5 linked regions of the Mus musculus genome follow. The protein of the gene in region 1 interacts with the protein of each later gene in a biochemical or structural test. Links are inferred from orthologs where the notes say so. Each region holds a gene or a part of one and is shown on either strand. Other genes may lie near its edges.

The links. The genes of interacting proteins can lie anywhere in the genome.
Region 2: the proteins of Lrrk1 (region 1) and Odf2 form a complex in vitro, tested with the Homo sapiens proteins (2 studies listed by BioGRID and IntAct, with this or other methods). The link is inferred for Mus musculus from reciprocal best matches to the Homo sapiens genes LRRK1 and ODF2.
Region 3: the proteins of Lrrk1 (region 1) and Gak form a complex in vitro, tested with the Homo sapiens proteins (2 studies listed by BioGRID and IntAct, with this or other methods). The link is inferred for Mus musculus from reciprocal best matches to the Homo sapiens genes LRRK1 and GAK.
Region 4: the proteins of Lrrk1 (region 1) and Flt4 form a complex in vitro, tested with the Homo sapiens proteins (2 studies listed by BioGRID and IntAct, with this or other methods). The link is inferred for Mus musculus from reciprocal best matches to the Homo sapiens genes LRRK1 and FLT4.
Region 5: the proteins of Lrrk1 (region 1) and Bag1 form a complex in vitro, tested with the Homo sapiens proteins (2 studies listed by BioGRID and IntAct, with this or other methods). The link is inferred for Mus musculus from reciprocal best matches to the Homo sapiens genes LRRK1 and BAG1.

The regions. Positions count from the first base shown.
Region 1 is NC_000073.6:66,262,842-66,266,341, forward strand, and holds part of Lrrk1 (leucine-rich repeat serine/threonine-protein kinase 1), read right to left. Parts: intron 2,701-3,500; coding exon 2,584-2,700; intron 56-2,583; coding exon 1-55.
Region 2 is NC_000068.7:29,888,855-29,892,789, reverse strand, and holds the start of Odf2 (outer dense fiber protein 2), read right to left. Parts: upstream 2,801-3,935; 5' UTR 2,611-2,800; coding exon of another isoform or gene 2,579-2,610; intron 2,534-2,578; exon of another isoform or gene 2,215-2,533; intron 2,025-2,214; 5' UTR 1,820-2,024; coding exon 1,788-1,819; intron 605-1,787; coding exon 514-604; intron 1-513. UniProt on the Homo sapiens protein: Seems to be a major component of sperm tail outer dense fibers (ODF).
Region 3 is NC_000071.6:108,626,978-108,631,016, reverse strand, and holds the start of Gak (cyclin-G-associated kinase), read left to right. Parts: upstream 1-1,239; 5' UTR 1,240-1,371; coding exon 1,372-1,516; intron 1,517-4,039. UniProt on the Homo sapiens protein: Associates with cyclin G and CDK5. Seems to act as an auxilin homolog that is involved in the uncoating of clathrin-coated vesicles by Hsc70 in non-neuronal cells. Expression oscillates slightly during the cell cycle, peaking at G1.
Region 4 is NC_000077.6:49,608,433-49,612,478, reverse strand, and holds the start of Flt4 (vascular endothelial growth factor receptor 3 precursor), read right to left. Parts: upstream 2,801-4,046; 5' UTR 2,710-2,800; coding exon 2,652-2,709; intron 1-2,651. UniProt on the Homo sapiens protein: Tyrosine-protein kinase that acts as a cell-surface receptor for VEGFC and VEGFD, and plays an essential role in adult lymphangiogenesis and in the development of the vascular network and the cardiovascular system during embryonic development.
Region 5 is NC_000070.6:40,938,295-40,941,794, forward strand, and holds part of Bag1 (BAG family molecular chaperone regulator 1), read right to left. Parts: intron 3,345-3,500; coding exon 3,231-3,344; intron 891-3,230; coding exon 783-890; intron 1-782. UniProt on the Homo sapiens protein: Co-chaperone for HSP70 and HSC70 chaperone proteins. Acts as a nucleotide-exchange factor (NEF) promoting the release of ADP from the HSP70 and HSC70 proteins thereby triggering client/substrate protein release.

The DNA of each region.
Region 1 (3,500 bases):
CAGGAAACACAGCCACGAGTCCGTCAGCCAGGCCTGCCAGCACCAGGAAGGAGTTCTGTGGGGGGAAGGGACAGGGACACACAATATTCTTTCATGTCACACATGCGAAGAGAGAAACCACAGACACCAGACTCATCTCTCTATGTGCCTCAAGTGGTCACATGATCTTCCATAGTGCCTCAGAGAAGTAAAGCCTTTGAAATCTTGGCCTGCTCAGGGGTCTCAGGACTCTGTCCAGAGATGATGTAGCCTTGCCCCAGCAAAGCCACACCCACCACTGGTGCTGCAAGGCAAGAGGTAAGCCAGGGAGAACAGTGCCCATAGTGCTGAGGGCATCAAGCAAGGGTGCCACCACCTGGCATTGGTCCCTTGCTGGAGGAGCAGCGGGGAGCTGCCTTTCCTGGATGCCATGAAGGCCTCATGAAAGGCAGGGCAGAATGCTCTCCCTGTTGTAGATAGCTTATTAACATGACAGCTGTTATAGGCATGAGTTCTGTTTATTGCTCACACGGTGGAGAACTCCAGAAAAGCAGGGGGCAGGTCTCTGTGCCCACCACTGTCACCTGGGCACTGCACTGGCACAGGAAAGGGTTAAGTCTGAGACACCTCTGTGGCCCGGGATCCCACTGTTTCCATCAAGTGGACAATCTATGACCCTGGAAGAACGAGCTTCTAGCTTAACTCTCCTGCTGGCATGTCTTGGTCCCATGTGCCCACATCCACACTCTGAAGAGCCTGGGCTGACACTACTGAGGAGTTTGACTTACCACGAAGCACCGTTTCCTCTGTAGCCACCGCCAGAGGTTACTAGGCAGAAGCCAAAGCTGCAGGTACAAAGCCAAATACAGGCTTCCAGGGGTGTCTCACAGAGCAGAGCAGAGCAGAGCAGAGCAGAGCAGAGCAGAGCAGAGCAGAGCAGAGCAGAGCAGAGCAGAGCAGAGCAGAGCAGATACAGAGTGAGTGGGTCAGGAAAAGGGCCACAGAACCAAGTCAGAGTTCATGACAGGACCCCAGCCTTGTTCTATCTAGCCAGGGGGAATGGCAGAAAGCCACTTTGTTAGCAGTCAGGGTGCCTGTGTGGAGCGGGGTGGGCAGCTGTTCAGGGTAGTAGAGTGAGTGGCCTCTCACACAACATCCACAGTAAGGAGCCCTAGGAAAATTTCTCAAAATCCATCTTCAGGATCTAGGTCAATAAAGCAGCCAGAGCAAACAGGCCATAAGTCTTTCTGGATCCTGGCCCTGCTGGCCGGCGTGGGGAACACCACGTTCGGTGGGTTGTGAGCGTGCTTGTGCAAGAATGCACGCACGGTCTGCCCTGTGTGGCCTCCGCAGGTCAACCTCCACGGGGGCAGGCACCCTGCGCAGGAGGCTCACACAGAGTCCGCTTTATTTCCCCTGCTCCGGCAAGACGTGAGCCCTGGCTGGGGCTCTGGCTGTCAGGGCCCTTCAATAATGCTTTGTGTCCGTTTCTCCCAGCCTCTGGTGTAGAGATCCCAGCTGCCTAGGGTGCTCCTGGGGCTACAGTCATAAATGACTGTAAGGTTCATTTCATACCCATTTTCTGTCCCTTTTATAAAGAAATGAAGCTAGATCAGGGTGCAGAGAAAAGCTCACAGGTTTGGCGACATACAAAGTCATAGCAACCTTTAGCTCCAAGTACCCAGCCTGGAACTCTGGGCTCCATAGGTCCAGAGACCTATTTCATTACTCAATCATCCTCATGTTAGGCGGACAAATGGGGACCACATAAGGGCAGGCCGCACATTATAAAAAGCTGTGCTAGGAAGTGATGCTTATGCACTGGTGGAAGGCACGCGTTTTACCCACAGGCCCCTTGTGACCTGATTGGATCCAGGGAAGGAAGCAGAGCTTGGGAGAGCAAGCAGTGCCACCCAACTTCTCAGAGGAGTTCCTGACAGTTCACCAGAAGAGAAGGTGAAGCTCCCGTGTCTACTGTTTGGAGGAGAAGGCCCAGGGCCAGTCAAGAGGTGGCCTTGCCAGCCCTAGTGAGGCTAGATTCCATGCCAAGGTGCGGTGGAGCTGGGGCTGGGGAGCACACTGAGTGAATGGGGTTAGGAGGGCGAGGAAGTGGGTCTGCTCTGCAATGCTGGGCAGTGCTGGGCAGTGCTGGGCAATGCTGGGCAATGCTGGGCAGTGCTGGGCAATGCTGGGCAATGCTGGGCAATGCTGGGCAATGCTGGGCAATGCTGGGCAATGAAGGACTGAGGCCTGGGAAGGAAAGCAAGTCTTTGAGAGAAGGCAGAGGCAGATGAAAGGGAATCAGCTACGCCCACTAATCAGAAAAATCAGTGGCCAGGGCAGAGGAGAGGCTCCTGATGCCTTTATCAAGAGAAGGAGCCACGTGTTTGCTTCATCATCCGCACCAGCGTGAGCCTCATCTAAGCCAGGGGCACTGGCATTTGCTCATGGACGGTAGGCACAGGTTAACGGTGGTTGCCTGTGTCTCTAAAGCTGGCTATGACCTGGGCAAGGTGGCCCAGAAAGGTGTGACTCCACTGTTCTCAGCAAGGAGATCCTCCCACACTTGGTGACAGACCTGAATATGTCCTCTCCCCACCTTACCTTTTTGATAACAGGTACTGCCAAGAAACAGGTGACGACAGCTGGGGTGTCCAGGGCCTGCTGGGGCACGCTTAATGGGCACATACCCTTAAGGCTGTAGATATAGATTTTCTGGTCCTGCAAAAAGCAGACAAGCTCACTGTAAGAGCTAGAGAAGGAAGTGACCGGTATGTCCTATGAGGATGCTTTCAGCCTGGGGAACCCCTTTGGTACCTTTCTAAAGGCAGCATTTTGCTTGCTAATTCATTTCTGCTTTTTGTTTGAAAACTACAGTCTGGAAGAAAGTTAGCTCATAGAGGGTCCTGAGGAGTGGGGGATGGAGCGTCTCAGAAGCTCCCTTCGGCTATGCATGAGTATACCACTAGCAAAGTGGAGTCACGATACAGTGACAGTGTGCCATGGGCAGAGTCCTGTATTTACCCCCTCAAGGATGTATATGGGGTCACCTCCTCTGTTCATCACCTTTAAACATATTTGGTGAATTTATTGTTGCTATAAAGAATTGTATCGGAATAGGTACTCTTAGAGATCTCTCTGTGTATTCTCCTAAAACAGATCGATGAGGCTTTAGTGCCATGGGTATCTATGGGTTTTGGGAGATCTATATACTTCTAAACAGTCATGTCGAAGCATTATGATGTTCCTTCCCCTACTCATAAACCTGGAGCATTTGATTTAGAGCGGTGTTTGGATTTCTCATAGGACAGCCACTTGGATCTTTCCATGACTTCTGCATACAGAGGCAGAAGGTCCTCGGAGATGAGCTATGCTCCATGGCCCTCACACTATTATGAGGAAATCCAGCATGCCATCAACACACCCAGTTTCTCCCGCTGAGCATCTCTACCTATTCTTACTACCCTGAATCCTAGCTTCCAGCTGGTGGCCAGCAGGAGCCAGCAGTGATTCCCCCGGTG
Region 2 (3,935 bases), on another chromosome or scaffold:
TCCTCAGAGCTGCAGCTCCACCCAAGCCAGACGGACTGGGCAGCTCCGCCTTGGACTTAGTGCAGGTCGGCTGCAAAGCTGTATCTTCCAACCAGACATGCGAGTTAGTGTGGGAAACACTCAAAATGGTTAAGGTGCAGATGCATGCAGGCCACATGCAAGCAAGGCACTAGGGCACAGAGGAGGCCAGTGGGGATGCCAAGTGTGAGGAGAGTGTAGAGACTCCAGAGAAAACGTGAGCAGAGCTGGACCCCAGGAACAGCCTTGCCCGCCGGCAGCCCCCATCCCACCTCTCTCTCATGCTTTTATTTCTTTTTTTTTTTCTTTTTAAAATATCTGTTCTAAAGATGTTGGGATGTCCCTGGAAGGCTATCAAGACAACCTCCTCACACCTGACTCCTTCCTTCATCAGCAAGCAGGCCATGCTTCCCAGCTCCATACAGAGCACCTGGGCAGTCCCTAGCAAAGGCTTGCAGAAGCAGTTCTGATGGTACCGTTGTGAGGGTCACCTACCGTAACAGTTACACTGGGTGCGCCACAAGGTGTTCTCAAGACTTTTTTCTGTGTGAGACTCGTTACTCCGTTCTTCCCACACGATGGAAACCTGCACCCGGGCACAAGAACCAGATTATGAGCAGAAAGCCAAGGTTCTCCTGTTTCTCAGCTCTTGGGAAATGGCACACTGCATGTGGTGGCTATTGCGTCGGCAGCTTGGAGCAGCAGTCTTGAGTCCCCTGGCTCTCTGTAGATGAGCACAAGGCGCGCATGGTGTGCTCAGCAGGAGGGTGATACCAGGTGTAGGCTGTCTGCATGGCTGGCCTTTTAAACCTGCCATCGCATCACATGTATTGTGACCTTGTGCTGAAAGCCTACCTGTCATCTCCAATCAGGTGACCCAAAAAAAAGCTGCCAAGGCACCAGTCTCAACAAGGGTTACAGTCCCCAAGCTCCTCTGGGGAAGCGTTCAGTGACAGGTTAACCTAAAACATGCAGCTCAGGAGCAAAGTCACTGGGACACCAGCTTGTAAAAGGAAGGCTCACACCCTTGCTGAAGCATACGAAGACCCCACTTCCCAACGTGGTCCACTCACTGCCCACACCAGAGCCTTGCTTGTACATATGCAGCCCAATACGACAAGTGCAAAACAGCCAATACTGTGCTCCAGACCAGCAGTCCAGCCAGAGTCCCGGCTGGGGGAGAACGGTCTGCAATGGTTAAAGCTAACCTAGCCCACTGCCTCCTCACAGTTCCCAGATAGCCTTCTGCCGACCTCACCAGCTCTTCAGGGGGAAGACTGAAACCTAAAGCAACAGCACCATGGTCTGCACTCTGCTCGGCTCACAAACAACTACTGAGCGAGCCGGACGGCCACTCGGAAGAAGACTGTTCAAAGTAGAACCTCAAGTTTTCCCCCCTTCTACTTACTTATAATATCTCTGCTCACTTTAACACTAGTTTAGAGGTGCCATGGTGGGAAACGCTTTTAAGCCACCACATGGGACGTGGAGAAAGGAGAATCGGGAATTCAAGCACAACCTTGACTACCTAGTGAGTCTGAAGCCAAGCTGAACTCAAAGCATTAAGAGTGATCTTGTTTGCTACTAGTAAGCTGTAGGCGGGGGAGGGGAGTCTTTACTCCTCCCCTTTCAAAGTCACTTTCAAGTGTTTTGGGTCCAGACTTTCAGTACCTGGGAAACTAAAAAAAAGTTTCCATTGAGCCTGGCCTGGGGAGCCCTGACCACCTTTCCCTGCCCTACTGCAAAGGCGCCCCCCACATTGGCTGTACCTGGGGGAGCCGCCTGAGGATGAGGCAGACATGGTTAAGCATCAAAGCCGCAAAGATGGGCAATTGGGTCGGCAGGCTCTGCTCAGGGGGACCCAGAGGGGCTGGCCAATGAGAATCTCAGGGGCCGGGCATCAAACGTCCTCTCTCTGAGGGGAGGAGGGTGGAAGCTTTGGGGGTGGCAGTTGGATGAAAACTTGGGAGGCGCTCCTCTACTGTCCAAGTCGCACAGCAACTGTCCTGCCAAAGTGGGGAGGGAGGGAGACAGGAGAGGCTGAGCGACCTGCGGGGTGCCGAGTGCGCCGCCAGGAGGCAGGTGGAGGGCGCGGCAGGACAGTGAGGGGCCACGTCACTGAAAGGAGGACAACGACCAGCATGCCCAGACCCCACCCGGGAAGAATAGCGGGCCGACGGCTACTAGGGTTTAAACCTGAGGGCTGCCTGGAGTGCGAAGAAGGTGAGAACTGCTAGGCCCCAAGTGGGCCCCCCAGGGGCGGGAACCCGCACAGGGAGCTGGAGGGATCTTCGGGACAGTGCCTGGGCAACTGTCTCCTAGGTGAAGGGGCGTTCCCGGCAGAATAGCTACCAGGGAGAACCAATAGATGGAAGGGGTGGAGCGGCGGCCTAGGCGGGGCGGCATGGAGAGCCAGACCGCTCCTGGATCACCCACATCCCTGGAGCTGGTCTGGAGGGTCCCCGGAGGCCTGCCCACCCCGAGCGCATGTAACTGCTGCGGCCCAGTCCGCAGAGAGCAGGGGTGGCCTCCGGGGAGGATGGGGCGCACGGCCACCCACCAGCGGGCAAGAGGGGACGGGGTTCTGCCCATAGAAGGGCGCAGCCCTGCCCGAGGACAGCAGAGGAGGGAAAGAGCGCTGCCGATGGCCCGGAGAGGACGGAGGCGGCCGGCCCGCCCGTTAGCGGGAGGAGGAAGGGCCCGCGCCCAACGAGGAGCGGGGCGGGCCGGGTTCGGACGCAGGAAGGAGCGCGCCTAGACTCGGGGACGGTGCCCGGTCGAGCCAGCCCCGGGAGCGCGGGGCTTGAACCCGCGGCACTCTACGCCCTGCCCCGCCGCGTGGCCTCTCACCAAGAGCGGCACGGCTGCGCCCAGAACCGTCTCCTTATGAAGTCGTTGAAGTCGGAGGCCAGGGTCGTGCCATGGAGACGCCGCGGCGGATGCAGTCCGGCTCCCGCGGCGGCTCCTCCCCGCTTCCGCCTCCTTTTCCGACAACCGGTCGGCAGCTCGCCCATTGGCCAGTTCAAACCCCCCCCGGAGCCTCTCGGGTTTCGCCATTTAGGCCCAGCCCCCAGCGTCACAGAGATGCCCCGCCCCACACGGGGACGCTCCGCCCACTTCTGGGTCACGAGGCCTGTCCACCGCCCCGTCGTCAGGGAGACACGCGACGCCTCCCGCGCCAGCCGGCCTGGTCTTGCCCCACCGTTCAGGCCACCGAGTCCCCTCCGCCATTTTGCCCTGGTCCTCCTGAATCCTGAACCCTAACGCGCTCCCCTCGAAACACAGGAGGAAGCTGGACGCAGAGGGCGTCTGTACAAGCGACAGGCTGGGGCTTCTGGAAAGCCATTCCTATGCCTCGGCCGCTCAGTGCAGACAACTTGTGCACACTCCACAAACTGTACCCCTCTCCCACACGCCCCAAACCGAAGGAAGAGGCCGCACTCCCCACGCCCCTGCCGCCCTCCCGCACACCGTACGCCGCTTCTATACGGACCTGCTCTGCTGAGGTTCTCTCTGCTGAGCCGCCATCTTCTCAACTATGCTTCCCTGTTAGCCAATCGTGGGGGACTGTCACGAGGCTCACGTTCCCGCCCTGGATTCTGGGAGACTTTAACAACCTCCGGGCTGGGTAGACCTCATTTCCTTGACACCTTAACTCCAACACAGTAGTTGTGCTCCCACCAGCTCCTCCCTGGAGCGTGAACTACCTTCCCACCTCCACAGCCGGCAGGGCAGTCTTACCATGTCATATTTGTTCGTCAACCCTTGACGGTTCATTTTGTGCGTGCAACCCTGGCTGGCCTGGAACTTGCTGCGTTTGAGCAGAAATCTGCCTATCTCTGCTGCTTGCTGGGGTTATAGGAGTACACCAGCAAGCCGAGCCTTTCTTCTTCTTCTTCTTCTTCTTCTCCTTCTCC
Region 3 (4,039 bases), on another chromosome or scaffold:
AGATCTGAAGCCACCAAAAAATAAAAAATCCCTTCAACTTCATTCCAGTAATAACATAAAGTTACCTGCAACTGCAAGCCGTAGCTACTTCCTCCTCCCTGCATCTTATAAGTGATTCTCTTATAGAAAGGTGCCATTTCTATACCAACACTACATATCCTCTATCTGGATGTGACTTGACTGTCCTACTATTCTGAGACAGTACTCCTCTCCACTATACTGGAAAGACTTCACTCTTTCCCATTGGCTTTAGGCTGCTCAAGTCTCCCATCTAAGATCATGTTAACACCACACTGCCCTTTCAGCTCCCACACTCTTCTTCACAAATCTCCTCAGTTACCTACAGGTACCATCTCTACTTCATCAGTTCTTTATTCCTCCAGGTGTTATCCAAAGCTTCCACTTCACCATTTCTAGGAAACTACTGTCTCACCTACCACGTACCTCACTGTATACTAATGATAATCTTTCATTTCTTTTCTACTTGACTTTTTAAAGAGCAGGTAGCGCCCCCCCCCCCCCCAAGGCGTATTTAATAGCATACAATCCTGGGACAGTTAAGATGTTGATTTGGGCTTAAGGATCCATTTTTCAGTCCAAAAGCACAAACTCTACCCAAGGCTCTGCAACTTCATATGGCTTCAGAAACCTCGGAGGTACAGAGACGAGTGGGGAATCCCATGACTTTGCCTCACCTGAGATGGACAGCTCTAAGTGTTTGACATCACACGGGATTCTGCGTCCAGTGCTGCCAGGTGACTTTTGTATACACGTTGTGAAGCTTTCTCCCGCCCCCTTTTAAAACTACGTTTTTCGGTCTTAATTCTAGCAACTAGTTCATCCTCCCCCAAACCTGTGTGGACCAAAACATAAGTGTCTGTGGCTCATAGGCTGGCTGCTTGTCTGCAAGATACCCTCCTCTCCTAAACCGGGCATTAGGGACACTTAGGGTGGGCTCCAGGCCTCGCTTTACCTTGAGGCGTCAGGCGCGAGCGGCGGGCTCTGGGGCGGTCCGCAGCGCGCGCCCAACGTCCCGCGACGCTCTAGCCACCTAGGCTGGACCTGGGCCAGCGGAAGCAACCAGATGAGGTTAGGGTCAGATGGCGACAGCCCTACCTCCGTGCCTCCTAGGAGCTTGAGGTCCGTAGGATCGCACCCTCTGCGCCTGCGCCTGCTGCTGCTGCTGGCTCTGCAGAAACACGCGCCCTTCCGCCTGCTGCGTCAGGGCGGGGCCGCAGCGTCGGGACGCAACTCGCTCTCTGATTTACGTCACGGCGCGGGCGGAAGATGGCCGGGTTGTTCGCCCGCAGCTGCTAACCCGGCAGTGCGGAGCTGGAGCCTGGCTCCCGCTGCCGCGGAGCGGCCGACGCCATGTCGCTGCTGCAGTCTGCGCTGGACTTCCTGGCGGGCCCTGGTTCTCTTGGCGGAGCTGCGGGCCGTGATCAGAGTGACTTCGTGGGGCAGACAGTGGAGCTGGGCGAGCTGCGTCTGCGGGTGCGGCGGGTCCTGGCCGAGGGTGAGGCGTAAGGCGTCGCCAGGCCGCGGGAGGCAGGAGCAGCCCAGGAGGGTCGCTGCTGGGGTGTGGTTCGAGTCAGGGCGCGTGACGGTCACCGCTTTAAGCAGGGGCAGCAAGGAGGATCGTGTCCAGGGTGTGAATCAAGTCTGAGACCTAGAGAGTCACGACTGAGGTGTGGGTCAGATCAGGGCCGCAGGGAGTCATCTCTCCGGGCAGGGTCTGCGGGAAAAGACACTGCTGGGATGTAAATCAGGCCATCGCTATGAAGGGCCACTGCTGGGGTGTGAATCAGGTCGGAGAAGGGTCTTGCCAGGAAGAGAGACCACAGGGGCTTGTGGGTTAAGGCCTTTGGTGGTGATTGCAGAGGATAGACTGCTTCGGGTTGCACACTTACTTCCTGGTGGGTAGAGTTAGTAGTACAAGGGTCATGCTAGCAGGTGGTTATCCAGTAAAGGAGGCTTGGGTCTGGAAGGACCACCTCTGCTTAGGGTCAAAGCTGTATCTGGGGCATATACAGAAAGATTCAAAGGTGGAGTCAGGTCAGAAGGTGAGCACAGTCACTCTGGGGTCATAAGCTGTTATTCATTGTATCATATCCAGCGTTGTTGTTGCATCCCGAGGACTGTCTTGAGATGGCAGTGTTTGTGCTGCTGAGTTCTGGGGCCTGTAGAGTCTTCCCTTGCTTGATGAGGTAGAGGATAGACTGGGGCCCTACAGTCTTGTTTTCTTTTATAGCCTAAGTGCCTCACCTATTGAGTTTTTTCTGTAGTGACCTCGTATAAGGTACAGGAAACAGAGCCCGTAGCTGTAACCTTTAAGAACCTTGCTTGAGCCGGGCGTGGTGGCACCCGCCTTTAATCCCAGCACTGGGGAGGCAGAGGCAGGCGGATTTCTGAGTTCAAGTCCAGCCTGGTCTACAGAGAGAGTTCCAGGACAGCCAGGGCAATACAGAGAAACCCTGTCTCGAAAAACAAACAAACAAAAAGAACCTTGTTTGATAGACAGTTCCATAGTTCTGTGTCTTGAGGTCAGTCTGAGTTTGTAGCTTCCTCACACAGGCTCTGTAGTCAGCTTGTGTGATGGAATCGTGTTTTCTCTTTTATGATTTTTTTTTTTTTAAGATTTACTTTTTTAAAAAACTGGTGTTTTGCCTGCCTCCATCACTGGACAGTATCTATGTGTACTGCCTGCTGAGACCAGAAGAGGACATTGGATCCCCTGGAAATGTAGTTAGAGACAGTCGTTAACCTCTGTATGGTTGCTAGGAATCCAGTGTTGCTCTTCTCCTCTGCAAGAGAATAAATCTTCTTCAGGCACTCACTGTGCCTTTTTATTATTATTATTATTATTAATTTGTTTATTTTGTTCATCAGTATCTAGGAGTATGCCAGATCTCAGGTTCAGGGAGAAGAGTGGCCTGACTCAGGTCTGAAGTAGCTCTCAGGATTGGAGAGTCATCTTGTTAAGGTTGTCCATGACAATTGTGATTGGTAGGAGCAGGGAACTTGTTTAACATTCTTTCTTTACTATGGAAACGCAGAGGTGATGTTTTGATAGTAGCTTGTCATGCTTATTCTCCACTGCGATTGTGCATAGATTTGGATGTGATTTTAGTAGAAGACCTGTGGTGCTTTTCCCGCCAGAGATGAGTTTAGGACCTCCACTAACAGTCTGATATGTGATATTCCCTTTCATCTGTCGAAATGACAAAGATGGTGCCAGATCGGCTTGTTCATTCTGAAGATACCAGGAAGTTGCCTTAGTTTTTCAAAAACTTCAACCCTGAACTGATGGCACAGGCCTGTAACCCTAGCTTCTTGGGAGTTTGAGGCGGGTAAATTCCAACTTCAGGGTCTGCCTGGACTACAGGTAGAATTCAAAGCCAATCTGGGCAAGTTAGTAAGATGCTGTCTTGAAAAGTAAAAAAGGGCTGGGATTTTATAGTTTAATGGCATAACACTGGCTTAACATGTATGAGGCCCTAGGTTTAATCCACAAACCAGAAGGGAAGAGAGGAAGAGAAGAGACGGACGGACTTGGTTTCCTTTCTTATAGAATGTAAAATAAGACACATATTCAGCTAGTAGAAGGAAGAGGCAGCTTGGGTGCGGCAGTACAATAAATAGTGTGAATTCCAGGGTAGCTGGAAGGCCTGCCTCTATAATAGGGAGCCAGGAGAAGATGGCTGTGTGCTGTACCCACCTGGCCAAGAGGCCATCTCTAGTGGGACGTGGTTCCAATTGCTAGGAGAGGGAGGTTGTGTAAAGCAGGAAGCTTACTCAAGCCACATCTAAACCAGGATGAAAAACCAGGAAGTATGGGCAGCCACTGTCTCTGCAGAGAGCAGTTCTTTCCTGCTCTCTGACCCAGCCAGGAATAAAAATAATCAGTGCAATTGTAAGCCATAGTTTTCTTCTTCTTCTTTTTATACTTAATATGATATTTTAAGGCTTTTTTTTTTCTGAATTGAGACAGTAAGGAATCTGTAGTATTTTGCATAGATTACTTAAATGAGTCCTGAGC
Region 4 (4,046 bases), on another chromosome or scaffold:
TGAAGCCCACAGGCAGTAGCTGGGTGTCTCTGAGCACGTTCATCCTCATGCTTTAGAAATCCAATGCCACTTCAGTCTGGCACTTGGAAAACCCCTGCAGGATGGGGTCGTGCCCCTGTCCTTCCTGCCATCCTGAGCAGGTGATGTGTGTGTGTGGCTGTAGCTGCACAGAGTCACAGTCTCTCTGACATGCTGGGAAGTTTGCCAGACTTTTCACCACACTGTTCCAGGCCTGGCTTTGATGAGGGATCAGGGCCCCTTTTGCTACACTGCTTCTGAGAGACACTTACATTTCAGTCCCCAGAGCTCTGAGCTAGGACTAGAAGGCCACAGAAACAGGTAGATCCCACTGTCTTGGACCTGGATTATACCTAAGAGCAGGAATATCAGAGAGATAGGCAGCCACGTTTGATGTAGACCATGGCAAGGCAGACCATCATTAGATGAAGCCAGCAGTCCCTCTGTGTCACCTGCTAGCTTCCCTCCAGACTAAAGTCCCGAGACAGAGTTTATTAAAGCTGTCATCTGCCCTTTTCTACAGGGATCCTGCTGGGTTATAGAACTAGATCAGGACACCAAGCCAAGCTCAAGTCCAAGGAGCCCCTCCCGCCCTGCCTGCCCCTGAACACACGCAGGACACTGGTGCTCAGTGGGGAAAGGAGACCTCAGGACCTTAAGGACTTTGGGGCACAGCTAAGACTAAAGTGTGAGTCTGTTGCCCTTGAGGGCTTCATTTAGGGTCCCCAGGCTTCACACAGGTCTCCTACTCCTGTTTGCCTTCTCTTAGGGATTTTTTTTTCTTTCTATACCCTACCACGGAGCTATTCACCCCATCTTCTGCACTTAGAGATTTGTTCCTGCCATAGCATCCCCCACCAGGCTGGGAGCTCCTGGATCGGTTTTCACCAGGAGTGAGTGGGACCAGGCACAGGGCTCAGGGAGGCTTGGTCTCTATTTACATTGGCAGCCCTGCTCCCTACATTCCCCACCCATGCTAGGCCACCCTATCAAACTATCTCCTCTCCTCTTCACAGCCCATGTGGTCATGGGTGCCTACTTCAGGGAGCACTCCCACCTTCCTTCATTTCTACGGACCTCTGCCTGCTGCTCCTTGCATCTCTGCAATGTACCTGTCTTCCTTTCAGACCGCTTACCCCAGGATTCTAGCAATGGGGAGGGGAAAGAATTTGTACAGCTTACATTCCAGCCAATGCAACCTCCCGGAGCCTCAGATACCTTTCTTGGCTGAATGTGGGAGGTCTCCTGGGCCCAGGGAAGTCTCATTCCTCATCCATCTTGCCCAGCTAGAGCCCTGTTTACTTCTTCCACACATTCACTCCCTTAACAAACATATCCTGAACACTGGCGAGAAGCGTTATCCAGGGTTGGGGCAGTGGAGCAAGAAACAGCCAAAGGGCCAGTCATCCTTCAGTGTCTACACAGATTCAATCACATCTCGCTCAGCTTCGCTGTCTGACCGTACAGGGTGCTACAGGGTGCGAGCTGAGAGCGAGGCTCCAATATCAAAACTTGCATTAATTAGTTCCCTTCCTGCCGGCTCCTGAGGAATTGGGAGGTTACACGTTCCCCACTTATGTAAAAAAGGGTTCATACTCTTGTGGGAATAAAAGATGAAACATTCAAAGTCAATTTCTACGGCATACAGACATACAGGTTTCTCTCTCCGAGGTCTTTCTGCACGTCTCCGTCAAGCATCAGGGGCTCTGTGATGACCCAGTCACCTTGGGTTTCCAGGGACAGCGGCTCCTGAGCGGATGCCGGGCTCATCCCCCGCCTAATCCCCAGTGCTTCCTTCCTGGCCCCTCCACACAGCTCCTCTGCTTCCAGAGACTCTTCAGCACCGCAGAGCCAAGCTCTCAACACAAACTTGAACCTTCCGTTCCCTGTTCCCAAGGCTCTCCTTGCAGCCTCTGCTTTATGATTCAAATCTTCTATCCTTTCTAATCCAGAGATCCCCTCAAATCCCTGGACGCCCTGGCCCTTCACCTCGACGTGGATCGGTCTGGAACTAGGGACTCAAGATTCGGCTTAGGTTTCAACTTGAATCTAGGATCATTTGCAAGGTTCCTACAGTGGGGTGCGGGGTGGAGTGTCCCAAGTCCTCAGTCCTAGCCCAGGAGAAGGTAGACGCCCGTCCGGAGCGCCCTCTGGGGGACCTCGGGTTACCGATCTTCAGTGCAGACGCAAGGCGTCGGGAAGTGCGCACCCAAGTGCGGGGTCGGGTGTGGATCAATGGGGAAATGATTCACGCTGGAGGATCGGGACCCAGAGGCAGTGAGCCCTGGACTTCCTGGGGACTGAGTAAGAACCCGAAGGATCCAGGGTAAGGATGCATTTCACTACGGACCGGACCGTAGACTTAAGACTGGGACCTGGTCATAGCTCCGCCACCCTGTTCGTGACCCGGCTGCAGTCCTCACCCATTCTTTCCTGCTCCCCGCGGTCCCGGTCCCTAGCCCCCGGCTCCCATGACTTCCCTGGTTCCAGCGGGCGTCCTCATACCTAGGTTCCCAAACTGCCCCGTCCCTCCGCCCGCCCCGTCGGTGCGGTCTCACCACAGGCCCCTGGTGCGCAGCGGGCTCCGGGTGGTTAAGCGGGAGCGGAGGTTGGGCTGTGGCCCGGGCGCTCACCTTGGAGGAGTCCGAGGCAGAGCCACAGGCGCAGGTTCAGCGCAGCGCCCGGCTGCATCTCCGGCCCCTGGGCGCGGGTGGGACCTGCGCGGCCGCAGCTCTAGGCTGGGAGTGAGAGCGCGCGCCGAGGCGCCGGCGGGGCGCGGACCGGTCAGCGGCCCGGGGGCGGAGCCGAGGCGGCCCGGGGCGGAGCTCCGGGGGAGGAGGGTCACCGTAGCCTCAGCCCGCCCCTCGCCCCTCTCTGTCCCTTCCAGCTTGCCCCAGGAGAATCCAGCCTGGGTAGGGAGAGCGCCCACTTTGCGTACGTTAAAGGCTCCCAGTTCCAAAGCAGCCATCAACAAGCACAAACTCCAGGGCCACTGCGGGTGGGCGAGGAGTGCAGGTGACTGCACTGTCCCCCGTGCGCGTTGTGGCGCCGGAGAATGAACAAAACCGCATAGTATCGTTTTCTGCATTTCCCTTCCATCCATAAGCAGAGCGGCAACGAATATAACGTTAAAACGGCTGTACATTAAATCTTAGCAAGCGCCCTGCAGAAGCCAGATCTCTCTATAGTGTGAAAGACAGGCTTTCGCTTTAGCTTCCCCACCAAATACTTTTGCTCTGAGCTCATTCTAAGTCTTTTTTATCAGGTGACACTTCACTTTCTGTTTTGGCAAACGCTCTCGCACAGACTTCCTTTTTCTTTGTGGTTCCTTTGCTAGAATTTTCCTATTTCAAAATATATCCCAAATGACAATGACGATTTCAACCTTTTTCTGCTCTTATGTACTGCGTTCCCACTGTTCCCACGATCCCCACCTACCAGCCCGGACTCATCCTTGCCAAAAGTCAAGGCCAGACTGTTGTTGATGATGACCTTTTAAATAGTCGCCAACTCTCTCAACCACAGAACAGGAATGAAACTCCTAGGTATGCGTGTCTTTAACATCTGTAGACAGCGCTAACTAGTTTTTCATTTTAGCTTGTACTGAAATCACATTATGGTGTTGTTAATTGGCTTTTCCCTAACTGCCACTGAGGCTAAGAATATTTATTTACTTATTTATTTATCTATTTATTTATATTTATCTTTAATTCACTTTGCATCCCTATAACAGTCCCCCTCCCCTCTTCCCAGTCCCATCTTCCAAATCCCTCCTCCCATTGTCTTCTCCCCTTCTTCTCAGAGAAGGGGGATTCCACCCCGCCCCCCATCTTGGCTACCACCCACCCTGGAACATCTAGTTCCAGCAGGACTAGGCACATTCTCTTCCACTGAGGCCCAACCAGGCAGTCCAGGTAGGGTGAAGGGGAATCCAACGGCAGGAAACAGAGACTTGAGACAGACCCTGTTCTACTTGTTAGGGGACCCACATGAAGACCAAGCCGCACATTTGCTACAGATGTGTAGGG
Region 5 (3,500 bases), on another chromosome or scaffold:
TTAAAGGCGTGTGCCACCACACCCGGCGGAAGGCTTATTTATTTTATGGGTGTTTTGCCTGCATGTATATCTATACCACACGCCTGCCTGGGACTTGAGGAGGCCTGAAGAGGACACTGGATCCCCTGGAACTCGGCTTAGAGAGGGTTGCAAGGTACTGTAGATTCTGGGAATCAAATCCAAGTTCTCTGGAAGAGCAACTGGTACTTGTAACCACTGAACCATTTCCCTGGCTCCAAGCTGGCTTTCTTATACAGCCCAGGACCACCTGCCTGGGGCAGATGCAGCTCATAATGGACTCTATCAATTACCAAACCCATCTTGCCCCAGTGTGCCTATAGGTCACGCTCATCTGGGTAATCCCTCAGCTGAGACGTATTTCTTAGGTGCCTCTAGGCTGTGTTAAGATGACAGTTAAAGCTAACTAAGACACACAGTACCTGGCCCATAACAGTAGATGTTTGACATCCCCGAGCAACAGATTTTCCCAGGTAACACAAGTGTAATACTGACAGAACGAAATAGACTGAAATACTGCCACTAAAGAGAAGTACCTCTGGGGTTAGAGAGGTGGCTCAGTGGTTAAGAGCACTGATCGCTCTTCCAGAGGTCCTAAGTTCAATTCCCAGCAACCACATAGTGGCTCACAGCCATCTGTAATGGGGTCTGGTGCTCTCTTCTGGCCTGCAGGCATACATGCAGGCAGAACGCTGTATATATAAATAAATAAAACGTTAAAAGTAAATAAAAAGGCTAGTACCTCTATATGAATGTTTACTTACCATTGTGTCAATCTCCTCCAAGATCTTCATGAATTGCTCAATTGTTGCTTTTACTTTCCTATCAAGTTTGCAGAGAGCCTCCGCTTGCAATTCCTTAGCCAGAAAACCCTGAGAAGGAATAAGGCACTATTGCAAGTGTTTGAGACTCATGGAAAACCATGCCAATAGACTGGTGAAGCAACCCAGAGTTCACCACTGATCTAAGAAGCCCGGCTAGATCTCAGACCTTCATCCCCTGGGAAAATTAGAAATGCTTGCCTTGGCCAGACTAAGAATACTACCAGGGTGTGGACTGTTCTTTCTCTCACAGTCCACTGAGGCATGAATGCCCCCTGAGGAACTATGGTGCAGCCTTCAACACAGGTGCATACATGCACATAAGAAGCAGACATTAAGAGAACAGACTGAAAAGCTGGGCACAGTGCATCAAGGGTTGGCGTGAGGTGTCTTTGCCAAACACTGTGTGGTGGTTTGAATAAAAATGGCCCCCATATATTTGTATGCTTGGTCACTAGGGAGTAGTGCTACTTGACAAGGATTAGGAGGTGTGGCCTTGTGGGAGGAAATGTGTCACTGGGGGTGGGCTTTGGGGTTTTAAAAGCCCAAGCCAGGCCCAGTGTCTCTCTCTAAGTGTTGCCTGTGGATTGAAATGAAGAATTCTCAGCTACCTCTCCAGCACAAAGTCTGCCTGCATGCCACCATGCTTCCTGCCATGATGATAATGGACTAATTAAACCTCTGAACTTTAAGCCAGCCACAAATAAACGCTTTCTTCTTTTAAGAGTTGCTGTGGTCACGGCGCCTCTTCACTGACTAAGACTCTGCCTTATTTTTTGAGACAGGGTCTTTTACTGAATCTGGAGCTTGCCCAATTTGGCTAGACTGTTTGGGCAGTGAGCAGCTGGGATCCAGCCCTCTTCTCTTTGCCTCCCCCACACTGGGATTATACAGTGTGCCATCATGCCCAGTTTCTGCATGGATGCTGGGAATCTGAACCCAGGTCCTGATGCTGTGTGGCAAGCACTTTATCAGCTAAGCTACATTCCCAACTTTGGCTTAAGATCTTAAAGCAAGTTCCTTAAACTTGCCACGTCTCACTGATCTCAGATTATGGGATGCTGACCGGCAGATGTGTAGATGCTCACATAACTCATGGCACAGATAGATACACAAGATAACAGAGGATGGCGGTATTATTGTGGCTTTGGTTTTGAGACAGGATCTCTAACTCACTGCATAGTCAATGCTGCCCTTAAACTGATCCCGTCTCTTGCTCTGAGAAAAGCTGTGATTACGGTGTACAAGCCCACACCTGGTTGAGGTAGCACTTACTGTCATTAAACCACCCTGCTGTTCATTTGCATTTCTTTGCCTAGTGATCAGTTAGCGGGTGGCTGAGTTGAAAAGCAGGAATTTCTGAAGATGGCTATCAAACCAGAGTGACAAAGGCATATTTGTAAACACACAGCAAGAAGTTCGAACATTACTCAGAAATCCAAACTCAGTTCTATCAAAGACAATCACAACTACTCAAAAAGGACTCCTGTCTAAGGGCACTCAAAGCAGCAGCACAGTAAGAGAAAAAAATCAGGTAAAACAGAGAACAGAGACTAAGGTAGGTAAACCATGATATATTCACATGCAGGAAAATATGACCATTTTCAACAACACAGGAAAATGTTAATTTTTAGCCAGTAAAAGAACAATTTACCAAATGTATAGCATATTATATTTTAACTAAATAAGGTGAAAAATACTTTTCAGAGTAATAGCATCTCTGGGTCAGACATACAGACCTGCACACAAGAAGCACAGTAAGAGCCGGGCGTGGTGGTGCACGCCTTTAATCCCAGCACTTGGGAGGCAGAGGCAGGCGGATTTCTGAGTTCAAGGCCAGCCTGGTCTACAGAGTGAGTTCCAGGACAGCCAGGGCTACACAGAGAAACCCTGTCTTGAAAAACCAAAAAAACAAAAAAACAAAAACCAAACAAACAAAAACCAAAAAAACGAACAAACAAACAAAACAACAACAACAACAAAAGCAGCACAGTGAGAGCAGAGCTGAGCTTAGGACGTGAAAGGCCTCGGCTTGAATCTATCTATACGCACATATAAAACTTTTGTGTAAGCATCACAAACTAATTTTATAATTACAACACAAAACAGGACTGGAGAGATGGCTCGGAGATTAAGAAGGTGTACTGTTCTACTAGCCGACCTGCGTTCTGCTCCCAGCATCTAGAGGCTCACCACCTCACATCACCCCAGCTCTGGGGGGTGTGGGGGGTGTCTTCCTGGCCACCAGCACTCACATCCACCTACTCCAACACAGACCCAGGCAGACTCACACATAATTAATATATAATTTAAAAATGAAATAAATTATTTTTTAAAAAGCCAACCAGGCAACAATACCATACCACTCTATCCACAGAATAGAGAAGTCACCTGCTGGATGCCAGAAAGCTCTTTATTCAATTCTTGCAGGTGGTTAGCTATCTTCTCTGCAGATACCTCCAAATCTTTCAGCTTCTTTAACTCAACCTCTTCTTCTGGATTGCTCTAACATAAAGAATAAAACGAGGTCAGTAATTGCTCACCTAAAACAACTGAGCCAACCTCTTGTGCTTCTTGGAAAGCAAGTCAAAGGGTTAGACAACAGGATTCCTATCCATAAAGCCCAGCCCAGGGAGAAGGAAGGCCAAGCGAGCATCCTAG